Linked DNA regions of Drosophila melanogaster. The protein of the gene in region 1 interacts with the protein of each later gene in a pairwise test. Each region holds a gene or a part of one and is shown on either strand. Other genes may lie near its edges.

Evidence for each region.
Region 2: the proteins of CG10841 (region 1) and CG14926 interact in a two-hybrid assay, tested with the Drosophila melanogaster proteins (one large-scale study listed by BioGRID).
Region 3: the proteins of CG10841 (region 1) and CG10465 interact in a two-hybrid assay, tested with the Drosophila melanogaster proteins (one large-scale study listed by BioGRID).
Region 4: the proteins of CG10841 (region 1) and odd interact in a two-hybrid assay, tested with the Drosophila melanogaster proteins (one large-scale study listed by BioGRID).

What each region holds. Positions count from the first base shown.
Region 1 is NT_033777.3:13,629,259-13,635,668, reverse strand, and holds CG10841 (uncharacterized protein), read right to left. Parts: upstream 3,728-6,410; 5' UTR 3,608-3,727; coding exon 3,572-3,607; intron 3,495-3,571; coding exon 3,368-3,494; intron 3,295-3,367; coding exon 3,151-3,294; intron 3,092-3,150; coding exon 2,919-3,091; intron 2,859-2,918; coding exon 2,652-2,858; intron 2,591-2,651; coding exon 2,209-2,590; intron 2,145-2,208; coding exon 1,934-2,144; intron 1,875-1,933; coding exon 1,437-1,874; intron 1,376-1,436; coding exon 907-1,375; 3' UTR 808-906; downstream 1-807.
Region 2 is NT_033779.5:11,341,226-11,345,325, forward strand, and holds CG14926 (uncharacterized protein), read right to left. Parts: upstream 2,094-4,100; 5' UTR 1,944-2,093; coding exon 1,875-1,943; intron 1,821-1,874; coding exon 1,612-1,820; intron 1,555-1,611; coding exon 1,358-1,554; intron 1,304-1,357; coding exon 1,254-1,303; 3' UTR 1,076-1,253; downstream 1-1,075.
Region 3 is NT_033778.4:5,338,683-5,343,459, forward strand, and holds CG10465 (uncharacterized protein), read right to left. Parts: upstream 2,314-4,777; 5' UTR 2,061-2,313; coding exon 1,880-2,060; intron 1,831-1,879; coding exon 1,106-1,830; 3' UTR 1,024-1,105; downstream 1-1,023.
Region 4 is NT_033779.5:3,603,310-3,609,273, reverse strand, and holds odd (odd skipped), read left to right. Parts: upstream 1-2,517; 5' UTR 2,518-2,915; coding exon 2,916-2,988; intron 2,989-3,174; coding exon 3,175-4,280; 3' UTR 4,281-5,050; downstream 5,051-5,964. UniProt on the Drosophila melanogaster protein: Pair-rule protein that determines both the size and polarity of even-numbered as well as odd-numbered parasegments during embryogenesis.

The DNA.
Region 1 (6,410 bases):
AACAAAAATACTTACAAAACAAAACAAAAAATACAGCTAAAATGTTTCATATATTACACAATACAATAGAGTATAAGTATTTGTTTAACTTTAATTATGAATTAACTGTAATATGTAATAATAATTATAGAACCAACAAACAAAAGAAGCAAGCATTGACTGGCTGGCACATCGGGTTGCCTTCTTCCCGTTCGATTGAGAAAAACTATATACGATATTCGATATACGATATACGACAAGACACAGGACAAGACAACAAAGCAGAAACAACCTACAACAAACAAACCACCATATTACATAATATACTAGTACAGAGCAGAGAAAGCGGAAACGATATTAGTTTTTGTTTTCCGGATATGTGTATTACGCTCATAGACTACATATATACATACATAATACATAATACATCTATATTTATGTACACTTCTGAAAGGGAAGAGATTTATATTTTAATAAAAATCTAAAGTCACACTCTCTACGTACACACCCACAATTGTATAGACCACTGCAAGAATGCGAATTGTTAAATCAAATCTATCTATGTATACACTACTATAGCTATATGAAAATCTTTATGAAATCGTCCGACCGTCAAGCTGAATGGATGGCATTAATATATGTAAATGCCGATGTGTGCTGGACGGGCAGTTTAGGTAGCATTTCGAGGAAATCAATACATGGAAGCGTGGATTTTCCCCCTTAAAAAAAAAAAGAAATTAAACATTCTCAAGCGAAATTACAACCTAACTTAATTGAATGATAGGAGATCAGTTTTAAAGCGAACATTACATTAAAGAAACCTAAATTAAAAGAATCCACCAATTGTTTTTTTTATTTTACTGATAACATTCAAAAATTTGGACAAATGATACACTTGGAATTTGGAGAGGGTTAGTTTTCGCGCCACTAATAGTTGCGCTTCATTTGACCGGTGGCAAAGAGCACGTCGAGGATTTTCAGGAACTCCCGGTAGTTGAACTCCATGCACATGCCCTTCTTCACGCCGAAGCACTTGCAGATCGCTTGGAACTCGCGGCTGCTCAGCATTACATGCATGTCGCGCACCGTGATGCCGCGCAGGAATTGATTCTGCGTGATCGAGCCGCACTGTTCGCGATCGAAGTCCTTGAACAGCTGACTCAGATTGGAGATCTCGTCCGGTTTGCGGGCCAACTTCATCAGGGCCTGCGAGCAGATGGTTCGCTCGTCGAAGCTCAGGAAGCAGTCGACGCAGTCCAGATTGGGCAAATGGAGCAGTGGCACGGCGGTCACCACCTGGTCACCCATGTTCGTGTCCAGTTGGATGAAGATCTCGTCGAGGGCCTTGCAGAAATCGCGATAGCGAATGCAGGACACGCGATTCGGTGAACGGAAGCTGGTCATGTTAAAAGGATATAAATGAAATATAATACATATACAAGTTGCGAATTACTCACATGTTGCACAAGATGTTAGCTTCCTCTTCCTTGATGATTACACTTGAGTTATCCAGGGCTCGCTTGAAGTCCGATTCAAGGATCTCGCCCTCGCGATGGCGATCGTAGTCCTTCATGAACTCGATGACGGCCACGCTCTTGACCACAGCCTGTCGCTTGGCGTTCGTAAGGATGCGCACGATCACCTCCTCGCTGACATCCTCGGGATCCAAATTGTCTCTCGCAAACGGTGGACACTCCACCAGTTGCTGCTTGGTGACCAGCGCTGGCATGGCATACTCCGCCGGATCGACGTCGTCCAAAAACTTGGTGTAGCAAAAGCCCAGCTCGTTTCCATACCGACTCAGCACAGAGTCCTGCTCCGGATCGGACAGAAGGATGCCATTGGTGCGAAAAATCTGCTTGGTAATGTTGCAACGCACATGTCCACTGTTGAGTCTGGAAAGGAAACGCCAAATAGTTCAATCTTCATTTAAGATCGGTATCGGTAAACTTACTTATCGTAGCTTCGGAAGAATGGATGCAGATAGAGGCGACGATTGCGGATGCGTATCTTAATCTTGGCCATGGCATCCTCACACAGATCACGAACATTAGCCGACACAGACTCCCAGGGCACGGCGCCGGGTCTGGGCAACTCCTGGATGTGACGAAGTGGCGATTCCACGACACACTGTGGCATCTTCTCCAGGTTCTTAATGGTGAATACTAAAAATATAATACATATATATATATAGAGAGTTTAGTGCTCATAGTGTTCATTACTCTTCACCTGTATCGATCTCATCAGCGAAATTGCGCCAACGCACTCGATTGATATCCACGGGATCAGTGTAGCGTTCCAGCAGAATGGACATTTCCCTTTGGGTCAGATATTTTCCCACTCCCATGTTCGATAGACCGCGCTCAAATTGATTCTTGGTGATGCTGCCCACGTTTAGGCTGTCATAGCACTCTAGGAACTCGGAGGTGCGCACTTGGTTCTTGTAGATGTAGTTCTGAATGCAGAACAGAATGTCGCACTGATTTCGATTCTTTTTGGGTGTACTGCAGGCATCGGGAAAGATTGGATGCACTGCCTTGCAACCATCAATAGCTGGCAGTTGGGAAAGTTCTAGGTCCACTAAACGTCCCGGAAAGTCCTTGATAATATCCTACATTCGGAACACATTTCATCATACGCGCGAATTCTTTAGCATTGAAGTTAGCACTTACATGTGAGTTGTCCAGCAGATGATGCTCGCCCAGGTATGCTATAATATTATCGATGTGCTTGAGGAAAGCCACATAGTTGACCAGGTAACCATCCTTCATATAGCGTCTGAGGAGGAGCAGAAAATCGGACTCCGAAAGTGGTATCTTCATAAAGTGCAGCACACGAGAAAAGTGCGCAACGGTAACAACTCCAACATTTTGTGCAATCTATAAATAAATGTAATAGCTTATTAATATGGTGGATATATGATTAAGCAAATCAATTACTAGTTCGTAGTCCTGAAAGTAGGGCATGAGCGGAATATTGCATAGTTGGGCAATCTTGAGCAGGATCAGGCAGAGACGTCGTCGATCCTCCGGCTGGGGTACAACATTCACATGCCAGGGATCGTTCCACTCCAGTCCCGTAGCTAGATCACTTTTGGCGGTCTTATGCAGTGCTAAAATTATATGTTAAATAGATATAGCATTGATACAATTTAACCAAAAACCAACTTACTTTCGCTGCAGACGACCTTGCAGAACTGACGATACGCTACGCGTCCATCTCGAATTTGGAAATAGTCAGTGACATCCCGGAGTTCCGACTCGGACAATCCGGCCACCTTGCGATACTTGCCCAGCACGGCGGTGAAAATGGGCTCTGGAGTAGATGGGTTAGGTCGTAAAAAGGGGGCGCAATAAAAATGGGAAATACATCCGAAGGATGTGCTCACCGGACACGAAGCCACTGCAACAGGGATCATGCTGCTTTAAGTCGGCGCAGATGTCAAAGTTATAACGAAAAATGGCGCCCTGGATTTTACGACATCCTCGCCAGATTTGATTTAGCTCCATCTCCTCCTAAACGGTGGCATTCAAATTAGTTGAATACGTTTAATGGCCAACACATATGACTGGCAATAGAATGGACAACTCACTCTGTCATCACCCTCTTTAATCTTGGTCGAATGCATCTTGGTTTGGTAAAAACTTTTTTCGGATTTTTTATTTTTCGATTTGCAGCACAATATGTGGAAAATGTTTACAAAACTCCTTAAAAGGTGTAAGGGTGTCTGTTTGTGTGTGTGTGTGTTAGCGGTAACCCGTTGAAACAATGAAATCAAGGGCTACTTGGCCAGCTTGGCCATTACAAATTGGATTTCTCCGCTGCGCCGTGTTTGCTTTGTTCCCGTTTCTCCCAGGATGCCGCGACTCACGCAAGGAAGCCGTCGAGCAGTGCTACACTAATCACTTCCTTCGCTGGCAGGACGCAAGGACCTGGGACCTGGGTCCCGGTGGCCAGGAGCCGGCTTTCACTTTTCTACAAATCGCCTCAAATCACGCGCTCATTCGTCCAGCAGTTTGTCGCAATGCCACCAACACTTTGATTCAATTTTCTATAAATGGCAGGGGTGAAGGAAAACAGCATGGGAAAACAAAAGGGGTGAGGGAAAAATATCACAATGATTGAAAAAAAAAAAACATCCTGGCATCATCAAATGCAATTTCATTTTATTGGAAAATCGCTGGCCAACCAACCAAGCAAACCGCATCTAAAGCCAACTAACAGTAACAAATCACTGGAAAAATAGCAATTACAAACTAAGTATTTTAAAATGTATATAAACATTTGGAAATTATTGTATAATTTTTTAAAGTCTCTTAATAGCAGTTAAGAAAAGAATCCAGTGTTAATATATTGTTAATATAGTTTCCTACTTTTAAACACCGTTCAAAGTGATTTTTAGACTCTATTGACATTTTTACGCACCTGATGTTGCCTCAAAATATTTACCTCAGTGTGGCAGCAGCAAAAGGCAACCTTGTGCAGAACTGACTCTTATGTTAGTAACCTAACCCAGTGACCCTACCACCCTGCAACGCCCAGTTCTAGTCAAGGTTGATTGGCGACGACAGGTGCCCATACACCCGTACACCTGCCCACTTCAAACTGGCCATTCTGGCCACTTCTGGCCACGCGACTAAAAATAAGCTAAAGGGCGGTCCTTGCTGGCATTTCTAGTGTTTGTTTAGATGCCCTTTTTGTTCCCAGAGTCACGAATGTCGCACTCTTATGGAGTCAATGCGCCAAATGCCTAGGTAAATATCATTGTTGGTGCAGTGATATTAATGTAGCATGATTGCATGAAAATGCTAAAGGTTAAAATGCACATATTTAGCAAAAATAAAGCTATATAATTTCTATAGAATTATACTAGTATTTTGGTCCTCCAAGCCGCATTAAATGTTTTACAATAAGCATTTAACTATTCTGCAATATACACAACTATAACTTATGATTCTACATTATAAGTCAAAAATTCTAGAATTTTGGTCCTTCAAACCGCATTCAATAATTTTAATAAGCATATAGCATCATTGGATGTTAATTTCATAAATCTAAAGCGGCACATTAGGTGTGATTTAAATTGACCCGTTTAGCATAAAATGGTTTTATTACGCTCCGTTTTGTTGCAAATCTCCGTGTTTAATTAAATTTGTTTATATGCGTGTCGGCAAATTGGTTTGCAGAATCGTAATACCCGGAAACGGTTAGTTGGCAGTCATAAAAATGAATTGCAATCATTATCGTTGCTTAGATGAGGTTTGCAGCCATCCAATTCCGCACAACCCCCCTGCGTTACCTTTGAAGCGTGCTTTATTGCAATTTTTATTGCACATTTTTGATTTACTCAGCCATTGAAGCCACGGGCTTTTGAGCTGCCGGAGCTGGTTTCTGGTTGGGGCATTTGGCTTTTGGCCCGGGGCTATGTGCGTGTGGGTTGATGGCCAGGACATCGATTTGCTCGTGTTTTGTCCTTACTGCCTGACCCGTTTGATTTGATGCGGTGTTAAATTATAATTACAGGTTGGAGCTGCTGAAATGGGGACGTTCGTGGGCTAGTGGAGCTGCCAGAGGAAGGGGGTTTCGCAGCTTATCGCGCACAAACATATGGCATTTTGTCAGTTAGTTTTGTCTGCATTCTTTTTTTTCGCACAATCGCGAATGCAAGGAGCTGTACACTGATAAAAAGCAGGGTACAGGAAGTAAGCATTTAGTGCTTTAAGGTGTATATAAAAAGTATGTTAGAGTTTTTAAATAACCATTAAGATCTTAAGGGCATTTGTTGCTTTTTTTTTAGTTAGATTAATGAAAATAAATTATATTTTATTTTAGTGCAGTGCCTTCAGCTGTTTGCATGTGTAGGTAGACAAAGTACTCGCATATATATTCATGAACCTGGTGTACATCTGCATAATGCATAGCAGCAGCAGCAGCGGCAAAAGAAGAAGAATCGGTGGCAGTGGCAGGATACGCCAGTTGGCGGACTTCGCCTTTTTTAGTGGCTGCTTGGGCTGTCTGCCGCTGCTTTTGGCGGCCAACTAGTGCGGCTAACACACACACACACACTCACACACGTATACATATGCCCAAAGAGAAATATGGGGAAAAGGCAAACAATGGCAGGCAACCTAGTTATCGCCCCGCCATCTTTATTGCATGCAAATGCGCGAAAGGCGGCGCAAAAAGGAGGCGCGTCTGTTGAAATGGCTAACACACACACACACACACACATAAACCAACCGCATGCATATTTATCTTTTGCCACCTCCTGCTCCTTTGTGGCACACACACAAACACATCCACAGACATGCGAGTCCAAGAAATACGATATCTTAAGTGTTAAACAGGCGCTTTGCCAAACAAGCCTGCACTCGCAAACCTTATCTGCCATATATGCGAGTGTGCGCCACGCCCACCGCCCAGCTACTGCA
Region 2 (4,100 bases), on another chromosome or scaffold:
TAGAAAGTCTAAAATGCTCAACTTTTTCCTAGTTTCCCCTCAAGCACAGCTGACAGAAGAGGTGTTAAGACAAGACCCAACCGAGTCGAGAAATGTTAATGTAAATTTCAATTGTTTTAATTTATTTGTGACCCCTTCGCCACCCGACAAACCGTCACGGACTAACTTAATGTTATATATACATATATATATCACACAACAAAAAAAAAGAAAAAAAAGAACTGAATTGAAATGAAGGCAGAAAACGGCGGAGTGATTGTCGGTTGGGTCTATTCTCTGGCCTATCCGTCCAAGACGTGACTGGCATTCCACCCGGGGATCCCTCCGTCCGAAAGGGTTTCATGGAGGGGAACGGAACCGACCGTATCTGGAGCACAACGAACGGAACGGTCTCATAACCGTAGCGATTCCATATAGTTTACTGAACTCTCGCCGCACAGAAACAAATATATATAAATTAGTTCTTCCGAAATGGGCGCTTGTTAAAAACATAGTGGAAAATCGAGGAAAAAAAATGCAACGGAATGTTCGATGAAAAATGCGTTCGGTTTACCATTAATCCGCTGCCCTGATCCAGGGCGACAGATCATTACACACGCGCGGGACTTCCGAAACGGGAGGAGTTCCTCATTTGGGGACATGCGACAGGCGAGTGGCGATGTTTAGGGGCCCCCCGAAATCGTATGTATATGTAAATTTATTAATAAAAACTCCCAAAAAAAAAAAACGGATGCACATTGGCCCCTAAAAATGGGAGGGTGGGTGTGCACTGCTGCAGTTGTTGCCTGTCCGTAATTTATAGACCCGCTGCCGAATGACATGCTAACTAATAGTATCATCATAATTTATACATACAAATACATTGCATTTGTTATTTATGCCCTTGCGCCACCCCTCGCAACTAAAGCCACCCCCCACCCCATCCCTTACGTGATTTCCATACACAGATCCCCGATGACAGAGGTCACAGCACCCAAAAGGGCAGAAGGTTAGCCGGCGTTAATGGCACCGTTTGACCCTCGGCCATATTTGAATATCGATTACAATTAAACGGTCACAACTATAGATAACGTACACGTGATCGCAGATTGATAAATGTGCCAAATATTTATTATGTGATCAATTTATTATTCTTAAACGGGAAATTTCGAGTTACTTGCTTTGTGAATATACATTTCATGGGAAGCCTATTATATTTAATTTTCAAGTGCCAAATGAGATTCGTAAAGTTAGTTAGGAACTAATGGGCTCTTCTAGAACCAACTACCACGGTGGGATTGCGAAGGGTTCGGATCATTGAGACCTACAAAAAAACGATTTTAATGCGATTCTTCATTAGGTAAGTAAAATGCCTTACCATTCGAAGAGTAGCCTCCAGCTAACCTTTGACCACCACGCATGGAACCAACTCGCATTCCAGCGCCAAGGCCATTGCTCATGCCCATGCCGGAACCCATGCCTCCATCGAATCCCATAGACTCGGGCATGGAATGGCCCATTCTGTTACCCATTTCAAGACCAGGCTCTGAGCCCATGCCCTGTACCGAAGCCGGGCTAATAGAACCCAAAACAGTTTTAGATCAGCCTTAAGATCCATAAAAAAAAACTTACCCAACTTGAGAATGACCGTAACTGGGCTTAAAATTCGTGTACATGTTCATCATATTTTGGTTGTAGGAGGCGAATGGATCACCTGGAGATGCGTTATTCTGGTGCGATCCCATTCCACTGGATCCATGCAAATAGTTTTGGGTGTTCGCTTGACTTGAGTGCAGCCACTGACGACCACCGCCTCCAGGAGGAGTACTACCCCTTCCCATCTGAAACCATTCCATGGTTTAGACCCGGATACCGAAGTACGTAGGCAGACTCACCTGTGAGTAGTTGGGATTTCCCTGACCACCATGGCTGTACTCCCAATTGAATTCCGGACCGTTTTCCATCGTTAAAAAATTTAAAAATTTCAAAAAAATTTCAAATGGTTTTTGAAAAAATTTTGTTGGCCGATCTGTTACCTTACTGAATGCCGGACTAAAAATGAGGATTTCTAATTCGAGCCAACTGAAGTACACATTAATGTGTTTTCCATGCTTACTTGATTTGAAAACTTCTAACTTGTTTTAGTCATGTACAATCTATACGTTTATAATCTTCTATAACAGGAAAACAAACAAAATAAATCATTTCGTTGTCGCATCATGAATATCATTAGCAAAAACCAGTCTGTGTTCTATACTCGCTCTTAACGGAATATTTGAGATCATGCTGAGATTTTGAAATGTTATCTCTGATCTTCTCATATAATCTTAGACATAATAAAATTCAAATTTTGTGCAAACACAGTCATAATAAACATTTTTAATCATCATCTCGAGATTATTAGCCTATTAATGGCAGTTAAGAACAGCCATTCAAACTTATTGAATTAATCATTTCAGTGTCTGGGTGGCTGATTTATGGAATTAATGTCCAGATGCTGGTGATAAATAAATAAATGTTTAAGCAAATGTAGCGCAATAAATACTGATTATTGTTTTATTCTAAAAATGTAATATATTCAGACGGTGTGCTTGGTGAAAGTTGTAAGAAATATAAACCAGTTGGATAGGAAACTACTAAATAAATTTTGTCCGAAAAGGACTTTAGCACTACAAACTAAAACCCATGTTGGGCCACACTTCGGTAGATAAGAAACCTTGTTATCCTTAGCGACTTCCACCTGTACACACCGCATGCCGCACAGCTGTATCTTTTTCCCTGCCTCTGACAAACCAGTTTCCTATCGATGCAAGTTTTATTTATGTTTCTTGCCGATCTGCAGAACAAAGGCCAAAGACTGACCTACAAAGGAGCAGCAGACAATGGCAGATGACCTCATAAATTGCATCGTTATGAGGTTCATAAATAAATTATTGCTTCATATTCATAATGCACTTGAGGCCAAGTGTCGGCATGTCCTTGGACCAGCCAGCAATGGGATCTACCTGTCGTCCCACAAAATGTATCTCCCGAGCCCTAAGATTTATGGCTGGAATGGCAAGAGATGAGGGAACGTTAGCTCTGCTTTTTTAGCAGCAATTTAAAATGCATAAAATATTTGATGGTCCCTTTAACTCAAAACAAGGCATCAGGAAAGGAAACGAGAAGTGCCCTCCTTTGATCGTCATCTCCCTGATGGCTAATCCCATTTTATGGCATTCGTGCGGTCTTGGGGCCGTAAAATTGTTTTGTCACCTGTTGAAAACATTTTTTATTTTTAATTGAAAAAATCTGTTTCGGGAATGCCACGAGCTCCAGAGCACACAGAAATTTCATAAATTTCTTGGCGACCCTCGTCCGGGGGATAAATATTTTTCTTACTCTGGTTTGTCTTTCTATTTTCTCCACCAACATTTTGTCTAATTTTAAACGTATTTAAACGTTGGAAAATATGAATTTCCACCGCTTAAGGTCCATCCTAATTGCTGCCAATTAACACCTTCAATAAGCCCAAATACCATGGGCCCATTTGTCAGGGCCACGGGGGCGTTCAAATGCCTTGCCTTGTGACCCCGGCAAAACATTTTGATTTATCAACTCTTTTTACATTCCCAACACGAGTGCATCGATCAGAGGCGGAGGACACGAAAATAGCTGCATTGAAACTCCGGAGTCATCGGAGTCATCTGCATTAAGATCCGACAAAGACAACACTCGAATCGATTTAACTCTTTGACCCCGCCCACTCGTCGACCCCGATAGATCCAGGTTTCTGACTCGTCCGACAGCCGACATATGCGAGGGTCTATTAAAAAAATTGTTTATGAAAACAAACATTTTCGAGGCAATTAATCATTGGCATCATCGGTGGCGCGTGGGGGAACTTTAGCCATATAGTACCCATCTTCCAATCTTCCATCGACCGTAACCCCTTCATATCGTGCTGCTTTTGCTGCCGTTGATGATCATAATAATGATGATGATCTCCATCTGCAGTAGCTGGCTGAGTGCCTCCAGTTTTCATTTGGAAATCGTTTTATGGTCCCATCTTGAGGAACTCATCGAGTTGAGGGGGAGTGTTAAACGTCTGCCAATTAGTGATGCTTGTTGGATGTGCTGTT
Region 3 (4,777 bases), on another chromosome or scaffold:
AAAATTTTCATTGTCGTTCGAAAATCTAAGGGACATACTGCGGTGACCTAGAGTTAAAAAAGTTCCAATTGTCATAACCATGAATTCTTACAGAATAAAATGAGCCTACTACTAGAAAATGGTTAGCCCCTTTCCTTCGCGATCCAGGGTGGCGTATCCGTATATTTTTGAATTCAATTGATTAGAAATTGAATATAAAACAACTCAACAAATAATAATTTTACAAACTTAGAAACAATGCGATTTCTTTTCATATGCATCATCTTAAATTAGTAATAATAGGAATTTAAAAATCAGTGAGATCGGTTTTACCAGACGCCTCATAAATATATCTTATTTAAAGTGTACATATATGTGTAATTTGAGCATCTTTATCTTCATTTTATCGCATAATTTTTTTGTAGAAATGTCCAAAATTTTGTCGATGAACATAAGTTTGTTCACAGCATAAGCTTTCAATGTAGTTCGGCGATCAGAAATGACTTGGCCTGCTTTGCATGAAGATCTCCAACGACTTGCATAGCTTTCACCAACAATTAAAAAGCAATAAATATATATATACTGCACGCTAATAATTGAAATTAAGTTAATTAAATTAGCTGAAGAAATTATAGCTCTTCTTCTTGTTCTTCGAATAGTGATGATCCTAAAATCATCGATAGTCTAAATTAAACATCGATGTTTCGGAAAATTTAAAAAACATCGCTGATAAAACGTGATATTTAGTTTTGAACTGAAGAGGTTTTATTAATAACTTTAAACCAGTAGTAGTAATTTTCGGAACAGAATAGCGCTTATGCAATCCACTGTTAGGTGTACAGTGCAAAGGGAATGTCATTTCTAGTTAATATGATCGGAACTATCAACTTAACAAAGCATCGTTCTACAGTTGGCTTGGGAAGGAAAGCTTATTAACGCATATGTGGAAAACACGGAATTTCTTCTTAACAGGATAACCAAAAAAAAAACCATTTTATTTCAACTACACCTATAGCAGACCACACAGCAGAAATAGCAAGTTTTATTAAGAAAAGAAAACATATATATATTTTTTTTAATCGTTTATAAAAAACAATGTCAATCATATGTAATAGAGTTTTGTAAATCAGGACGGATTATTACGCTTGTTGGATCGTAATCGCGCTAGTCCAGTGCGTTCTTCTTCCTCATCGCTTGTGTACTGATTAATGCTGGTTCCACTTGCACTTCCTACTCGTGCTGAAGACGTTGCCTGCATGAGCTCTTGGTCTGGTGCATTGCGGTTTTCATAAAGCAAGACTTGTAGCGTTTCTTCGTATATACGAGCTTCCGGAAATTCAACTTTAGTATGCTTTCTGTCAGTTGCATAAACTATTGAAGTGCAACACACTTCAGCTACTTTTTTTCCGTGTCCGTAAAATGACCAGCAGCAGATTTCACTTGGCCCAATTACGTCTTTAATAAACAAAATTCGTTCGTTAAAGCGCAAAGAAAGCTTATCAAATAATTCAATATTTTTTAATAAGTTGTCGTCTGATGTACTTGTGTACGAATACTTGTTATTCTGCCGCTGAACCACAAGAATAACAGCCGGCTTTAAAGAAACACTTAATAAAAGCTGCTCTTCCTTTTGTGAAGTTATAAGTGGAATGCGGCAAATTGGCTTTGGCTCCTGATGAGCATATAGTGCCCGTTCACAAGAAATAGCTAACTCGGTAATGCAGTAGTATTTGGCTTCGGCAAGCAATTCTGCAATTTCCTTGTTAGTTTCTGGTAATGGAACAGTGCCATCTCTTAAATAATTAAGAATGATACCAAAATGATTTCCACAGCGATCGATTAAAATCCATCCTAGAATTTTGTATATTAATATTATTCCGTATAAGAACATGTAACAAACCTTCCGAATCAGTCAGCACTTCCATTCTACCACTAAACATTGCGCTCAGCATTGTGTCATTGTTTTTCGTCAGTGTTCCAATTGTGGTATAATATAAATGACCACCAACATTAAGTTTTAAATATTGGGAGGAATGTCCTTTTAATAAAATTTTGTGATCACCTGACATTGATTCCGACATTTATACTTTTTGTTCTCTAGCTTTCGGGGTTCAGCTACTGCATTCAGATAACTTGCTTAGTCGGTCATAGTTCTCATGCGTTTATGCAAATTCGGCGAAATAGTGATTAGCAATTTAAAATTGTATTTTGACTTCAATGTATTGTATTAAAGGTATATTTAATGTATGTATTTATTGTTTTGGACAGCTCAAAAATTTGAGAAAATATCGATATGGAAACGACCCATCGATTTCAATTTATATTTTAAGGGCCTGTTTGGACAAGAGTGGGTCTATACCACATGGTATACCATAGAACAACGTGATTTTAAATATGCATACCGTCCACAGTTTTGCTGAAAATTAGAATGCTCCTGTTAGATAACACAACAACTATACAAGAGAGGGACTGTCGCTAAAATATTGAAATCTTAACAATGCCAAATTTTAGCGCTATTTTTTCTAGTTATAATCAAATTTTCAAAAGTTGCCATATTAAAGTAATTTTGAGTGAATCAGAATATATTCATTATCTAATAGCTATTTATTTTATTTATTTTATGTTGCATACCTGAGATTACAAGTAAGATATCAGCTCAGCGCATCTGATAACGTGAAACTCAATTTTATTAAAATAAAAGTTGTATGTATATATAACCGCCCCATGTGCGATTAATTACAATACATATAAGTTATCCCACCCGTAAATATAGCACCCTGCTCTGTTGATAAACAAATTTCATACCCCGATCTCAGCAGCATTTCCTTTGTTTTTGTTTTTGTCGCCAGCACTTAACCATCCGATAAATGACCAAACTTAACGTAAACACCAGTCAGCAAATTTCAATTTCATAATGCTGTGAAATAATTTCAGTATAAAGTTCAAGAGAATTCTAAATAAAAGCTTCTGGCCGAGGTTGAGTGGATTAGGATTAAGATTTAAAAATCAGACTGAATCGGGACGATTAATTAGCGCCCAACGTATAGCGGTGTAGTTCAAAAGTTCTAAAAAAATATTAACAATAATAAGTTAAATATAAAACGAAACTCGCGCCGCTAACCACTCACATTCTTAAAACATCCACATTAATCCAACGACATCTAACTACTGTGGCAGTGATCGTGGAAAAACTTAATTGGAAATTATAAATGCAATAATCCAACTAAGAATATTATATTTAAAAATGTGGACTAAATTCTTAATACAAACTACGAGAACACAAGAATAATAATAATCAGACTCAGCAAGAAAGACAATTGAAACAAAAAGCCAAAAACTATTACCGAAAATATCCCAAAAATAAAAAAATCAACAAGAAGAAAGGATGACCTGATGGTAATCCCCCGCCCCAGCTAAATACAAACAATTGACAGTAAATAATCAGGACAATTAACCTAAAGGACCTAATAAGACTCCAACAAAATGTATCGTGACCAGAAATTAATATTAAGTCTTTAAAAGAAATTAATAAAATTAGAGAAAGCTATAAGGAATACCATAGAGTTTTAAAATTAAACATTTCAACATCAAATGTATCAATTAATTAAAGAAAACAATCTGGAAAATTTAATAGTTTTGAAAATTAAATTTAATAATGGTAACCGGAGGTTCAGCACCAACCAGCGCCATGAATCTGAAAATGGAATTAATTACCCGATTAAAAAATGTACAATTGGGAGAAGTGACCAAAAAAATTGAAGGGACAGAAGGGCAGTTAAACGCTAGCAGAAATGTAGTAGAGTTTATAAAATGCAAACAATTGACCCAACTATAAAGTGCGACACTACCGCTTAGGTAATTAAATCTTTACCAAAGTTGAGAGTTCTAGGCAAGTAAGAAGCGGCAGAAACTGTCATGGGTCTATATAAAATTCGAAGTGAACAATATCTTATCTGTTTACCAATACTACGTTATAAAATCATGGGAGCAACACATGATGCTCTAACTAACCATGATACAGTTTTAAACTTTAACGCAATTCTTTCCAGATTGGATTTTGTTTATAAAGATTAAAGGCCAATCCATATTCTCGAATCTGAATTATGCATCCTTAGACAGGGGCGCTAAAGCATTACAGAATTCTACAACAAAGTTAACAAGAAAATTGCTTTACTCATAACAAAAATTTTAATGACATATGCAAATGACAGAGAAATAACCAAGGAAATGAATAGAACAATTAGGAGTAACGCTCTTAGAATTCTTAATTCCTTATTTTACTCTTTTCTCTAAACCTACTAGACTTGCCAAATGTTTTGGCAAAGTGTCAGAATAAGAAACTAACATCATCTAAACATCAAATAGAATGAATAATAATTGGAATAATAATCAGAACCATAATCAGAATATTAATCAGCATAATAATTGGCCGGTAAGCGGGAACTTTGGACAAAAGAATTAATTTGAATTTAAATAACAATTGCAAGGTACAACCCCCACCAGAACCAATGCAGGTAAATAGGTTATGATTGTTAACATTTGACTTGAAACCCTAAATGGAAACTATTACTCTGGCAAAATTGTATGCAGTTAACACAAAAATGTTAAGTAATGATGACATTAAAGATATGTTAAATCACCAACAAAAGCCTGTAAATATTGCAGATAATTGTACTGCATAAAGAACTCTTAATTCGCTTATTAAGTCGCAAAATGCGTAAATACTTCTTATGAAATATCTAACGGCCCATCAAACCTCGGCACCAACTTCGCCGCGAAGCCGTCAACTGCCTTCGAC
Region 4 (5,964 bases), on another chromosome or scaffold:
CGAGTGTCGGAGGATCTCTCTACTATAAATCTCGCGTTTTCCACATGCAAATAGTGGGACATGTGTTTCCCCCGGGAGAGGGCTAATCCTTTTGGCCATGTGTTGACAGGCGCAACAACAATAGTAACAATATTAGTAACGACAACAAATGGATATAGCAGGAAGTCAGCCAGTGCGATGCCATATATCATGTGCTGGGAAATATTCGGCCTGTGTCTTTCATGTGTCTCCACTCCGCTGGTGTTTATCTATTTATTTATTTATTTGCCTTTGTACACTTATGACATGATGTTAATTACCGCTCGCGACTCCACAGGCCGAAAGGCAGGGAACCGAAAGGGTGGGCGGAGTCCGGGCCGTCACTTTGAAATGGAAAAGTTCGCCGACTGTTTGCCAACCGTCAACAGCGGCGACAATTGCCAAACGCCGAGGCTAAAGCTAACCGACACTGGCAAACCGACGGTACATCCGATCCGATGTTGGAACGGATCGAAAATCAAAAATCGACAATCCGAGAGTTCCAGACACACGCACTCTGGGAAAAAACGTCCTGCAGCAGGACCTTTGCCTATTGATTCAGGCTGTTTGATCATTGGCTCGCCGCCGCTTGGGAAAGTTTGTACTAAATGTTGTGTACATATTGCTTAATTTAATCACCCAAAGTCAATCCTGCCAAGGACCGCTTGTGACGGAGTGTGTCGCAATGGGCTTAGTCTCAGGATCCTCGGATCCTAAGTCCGTATACGGGTAAAACCAGTCAATGGGAATGTTTCTTGTTTTGCCAAGTTAAAGGATTAGTCGCAGATCCATTGCGGAAATGCTTCACCTGGAAAGTCGACAAGTCAAAGTCATGGGAATGTACGGAATTCGGAAGCAGGATAATAGGATATGCATTATCCATGTTTTGTCGGACTTGGGAAATATCTTATAGTTGGCGGAAAATCCAACCGAAGAATAGGATTTAATTCGGAAGCATAAATATGGCATGTGCAATTTAAAACTATTCATTAATGAGGAAAATTCGTATTTTCTTGAATGCTATGAAATATTTGTCTTTTTAAATGAGATATGAAAAATATTAATTATATAGAAGCCCGAATAATAATAATAAAAATTGTAAAGATATTTAACTACAATATCCTATAAATAACAACTACATTAATTTGATGCTTCAATAAATTTTGATTGGAAACATTCAACCCGCAGAACTTATATCTTTTAACCTTTTCCTATGACTTTACCTATTTCTAGTTTCCAAGCAATTTCCTTCAAAATATGTTAAGAAAACTGCCCATAAAGTGCACCTGCTTGTCTCGATTCAATTACAAATTATTAAATAATTATCCAAGTGAGTAGCATGAAGCATTTCGAATGAGGAACTCATTAAAGATGATTTGACAAGCTCGAGTCGCACTTCAGTTGAAAACGGTGAAAGTTCAACTATTACTTAACAACTACTTAAACAACTGAATTACAATAAATACAATACTGAGTAAAATAATTAAAAAAACTCGAAAATAAATGGTGTGTGAAAGGCATACCCAAAACTAACCAGTAATTGTGTACAATCCTTTTAATAAAGTCTTTCAATTACATTACCATTACCTCAAACTCGTCGTTAATTTGCTGTAAAATATGTCCGGCTTATCCTGCCGGAAACCCTTTTAAAAGCCAATCAATTTTCGCTACAAACGGCCGTTTCCACCCACTCGAAACTTTTATCGCCATCGCTTTGAAGCGGCTAATTGAATTCCAGATTAAAGTGTAAAGCAAAATGGGGGGGAATAAAAAAAACTGATTTGTATTGCAAATTAAAATTTAAGTGAAAACGAATCAGGCGCAAACACAAACAGGGACAATAGATTACAATATCCTGCGGCGCAGACAGCACGACATTAAAAAGGCACGAGGAGCAGCGAGAGCTGGCGCGGAATGGGTATGGACATGGCAATGGAGGTGGAAGGGACGCGCCAGGACGACACAGGACCTTCGTGCAGCTGCTGCTCCTGCTGATGGCACATGCGCCTGGGAGGGCTGCGTTTCGGGATTGGGACTGGGATGCGGGCTGGACTCCAGCGATGGCTGCCTGCCATCAGCGGCAGAAGCAGCAGCAGCAGCAGCAGCTACAGCAGCAGCAGCAGCAGCAGCAGCAACGGCAACGGCAGCAGCAGCAACTACGGCAGCAACATCGGCAGCAGCAGCAACACCAACAATATCCCAGGCTTGCGACCGTCAGGCCAACGGTTTCCGCTTGCTTACTGCTGGAACGGAAAAAGCCAAGGCACATATATCCATGCACATCCACAGGCACATTCGGTCGGAGCCACATCCATGGGATAGTAGATACCGAACGCTGAGGGCCAATCCGAGAGCAGCAGGTAGGCGTGGACGTATCTACCATTTCCAAACAACTTCAACCCCGCCACAGGCAGCTGCCGTTGGTCGGGCCGCTCGCCACCCTCGTCGCCCTCCTCCGCACTTCTCGGCCGGTTCAAAAACGGGTCGCCCTGCCAGCAGTTGCAGTCAGTTATTAACGAGCGCTACTCCCAACAGCAACATCGCTCAGCGGCAGCAGCAGCAGCAGCAAAAGCAAAAGCAAAAGCAACACTAACAACAGCAACACGAGTCACTCAAACGTGGAAGCGAGACAGGAATATCAGCACTCCACTCGCCTCGTTTCACTTCGATTCTCAAGCGTTTGAGTCGGAGAGCGGCGAACGGCCAACGAATTCAGTTTGTGTCGAGACGTTGTCGGTGGCACGTCGCATCCAAAAGAACGCTCAGTCAGCTGGGAAATATACTGAGAAAAGATACATTCGTAGATACAAGTGCTAAGCCAAAGTGAACCGTGCAGTTCGCGCAACTAAACAATTTTAAGCCAAATAAAACTACACAAGGCCAACAAAGACAGTATAATGTCTTCCACATCGGCCTCACCCATCAGCAACATAACCGTGGATGACGAGCTCAACTTAAGCAGAGAACAAGGTGGGTTCAAGTTCAAAACTGGCTCAGAACAACTTGGCAAATGCCGACGGCAAAGCGCATTACTCTCTAGCACTTTTTGACTAGTTTCAAAAAATGTTCCATTAATATTTGAAAGTAGTCTCACATAGCATTGCATTTATATGAATTGAAAACTAACCGTGGGCATTTCTATTCCTTCCTTTTTAGACTTTGCTGAAGAGGATTTCATAGTGATCAAGGAGGAGCGCGAGACAAGTCTCTCCCCCATGCTGACGCCCCCGCACACGCCCACCGAGGAGCCGCTGAGGAGAGTGCATCCGGCGATAAGCGAGGAGGCGGTGGCCACCCAGCTGCACATGCGACACATGGCCCACTACCAGCAGCAGCAACAACAGCAGCAACAGCAGCAGCAGCACCGCCTGTGGCTGCAGATGCAGCAGCAGCAGCAACAACATCAGGCTCCACAGCAGTATCCAGTTTATCCCACAGCCAGCGCCGATCCCGTGGCCGTGCACCAGCAGTTGATGAACCACTGGATCCGCAACGCAGCCATCTACCAGCAGCAACAGCAGCAGCAGCAACATCCGCACCATCATCACCACCACGGCCATCCGCACCACCCTCACCCACATCCGCATCATGTGCGTCCCTATCCCGCTGGCCTCCATAGTCTGCATGCCGCGGTCATGGGTCGCCACTTCGGAGCCATGCCCACCCTGAAACTGGGTGGTGCCGGTGGAGCGAGTGGTGTACCCAGCGGCGCAACTGGCAGCAGTCGGCCAAAGAAGCAGTTCATCTGCAAGTACTGCAACCGGCAGTTCACCAAGTCGTACAATCTGCTCATCCATGAGAGAACCCACACGGACGAGAGGCCTTACTCCTGCGACATCTGCGGCAAAGCCTTCCGGCGACAGGATCATCTGCGGGACCACCGGTACATCCACTCCAAGGACAAGCCCTTCAAGTGCAGCGATTGCGGCAAGGGTTTCTGCCAGTCGCGCACCCTGGCCGTGCACAAGGTCACCCATCTGGAGGAGGGTCCGCACAAGTGTCCCATCTGCCAGCGGAGCTTCAACCAGCGGGCCAACCTCAAGAGTCACCTCCAGAGCCACAGCGAGCAGAGCACCAAGGAGGTGGTGGTGACCACCTCACCAGCCACTTCACATTCGGTGCCAAACCAGGCATTGAGTTCGCCTCAACCTGAGAATTTGGCACAGCATCTGCCTGTCCTGGATCTATCCTCGTCATCCTCGAGCTCAGAGAAGCCCAAGCGGATGCTGGGCTTCACCATCGATGAGATCATGAGCAGATAGATTGAAGGACCAGCGAAACCCGGTATCCGGTTTCTTTTGAGACATTCTAAAAGAGATTCAGAGAGCTGGACGTCCGCCAGGCATGGGAAATGCCTGGAATGGAAAACCAAGCGAGTCCAGCCCGCATTCTGGCCAAAGGTGCAAGTGGAAAATCCTCGCCAGCAACTCGTAATCGCAACCCAGTGAGCAGAAGAGTCATCCTCCGTGCAATCGGTTCTATGTAGCAGATCCCAATTGCGTTAAACAAATGCCAAAGTCAAATAGCAGAGGAAAACTGATGAAAAATCCAATGAAAAGTATTGCTAGCACAAGCCTCCTACAAATCGATTCCAAAACACACACACACACACACAACTGTAAACTATAAACTTTAATAAATAGCACATAATTTATATTGTAATCTAACTATTATTGTATGTACCTTATAGTCGTAGTAGCCCATTCAGTTCGTAGTGCTTATGGAGTAAACCAAATGTTATGTTACAATAGCTCAATCAAACAAACCTCAAACCCGCTTTGGTTATTGAAAGACTGTTTTAATTATTATATTTAAATAGTACTTGAATAAATCAATCGATCGATTGTGTAATGTTAAACCCCGACGAGTGTCATGATTACTTACTGTTTAGACTTAACAACTTAATTGTCGCTATAGCAATTGTGACTATGCACAACGATCTCATTGTCGTCTATATGTATGTCTGAAACATTCGTATTGATATGAAGTTATCACAAAAATACGTAAATATAAACGCAAAGTAATTTTCAACTGAAATTTAATAAGACTTTTTATGAATACGGTGGATTTTGTGTTTCCAGGTATTTGGCAATGGCAATTTCGCCTTGATTTATCATTACTTCTACTGGCAACTTGATAATCTTTATGGTGTACTAAGTTAAAGTTATCTGAAAAGATTTAAGCAGCAATTTTTTGATTACCTTCTACCACCTACTGACTGATTCAAGTTCCAAGCGGACTGAATGATTTTGATCTACTTTTAATCACTTTGAAATCTTTCTTATCCGCTGACTAAATCCCACGCCATTCCGATTTGGGAATTTTCTCATGCTGCGAATATAACTCAGTAGACTGAACTCGTAGGACCATATAAGTTGAACCATCAAACAGCAGCTGTCAAAATTTATTAACCATCCGAATATAACTCAGTTTTTATGCAGATCTCGATTTGCGCATTTTTAAGCAGCTCTATTATTTTTCAGGTTGCCGATTAAGTAAGCAGAAGTCTCGCCACCAAAAATATTCAAACTGTCGCAGAAGTTAATTTATGAAATCGAATCGAATTGAATTTGATGTCAGTTTTGCTATGATTTTGTCATGAATCGGTTTCGATTTCGGTAACACTATGGTTATTGTTTAACTTTGAGGTGTGGTCCAAATATTTATGGCCTGTGTTTCAGTTTTGGGTTTAGTTCAGTTTTCATTGTGGCTTCTCTTGAAAATCGGGAACGTGCCAAATGCCTTGCAAAAGGTATGTTTGATTTCCTTTAATGGTGGTTTTCTTTTCTAGTTTCTTCCATTGGCAATTGCATTTCTCTTAGCACGCTTCTTACTCAGAACTGTCAATTTCAGATTGTGATCTTTGTCTCAAAATCGAGCATAGGATTGTCTTTAATTGAGGCCTGAGGTCGTTCTGGTTACCCCCGGGGGGAACCCGCATGAGGG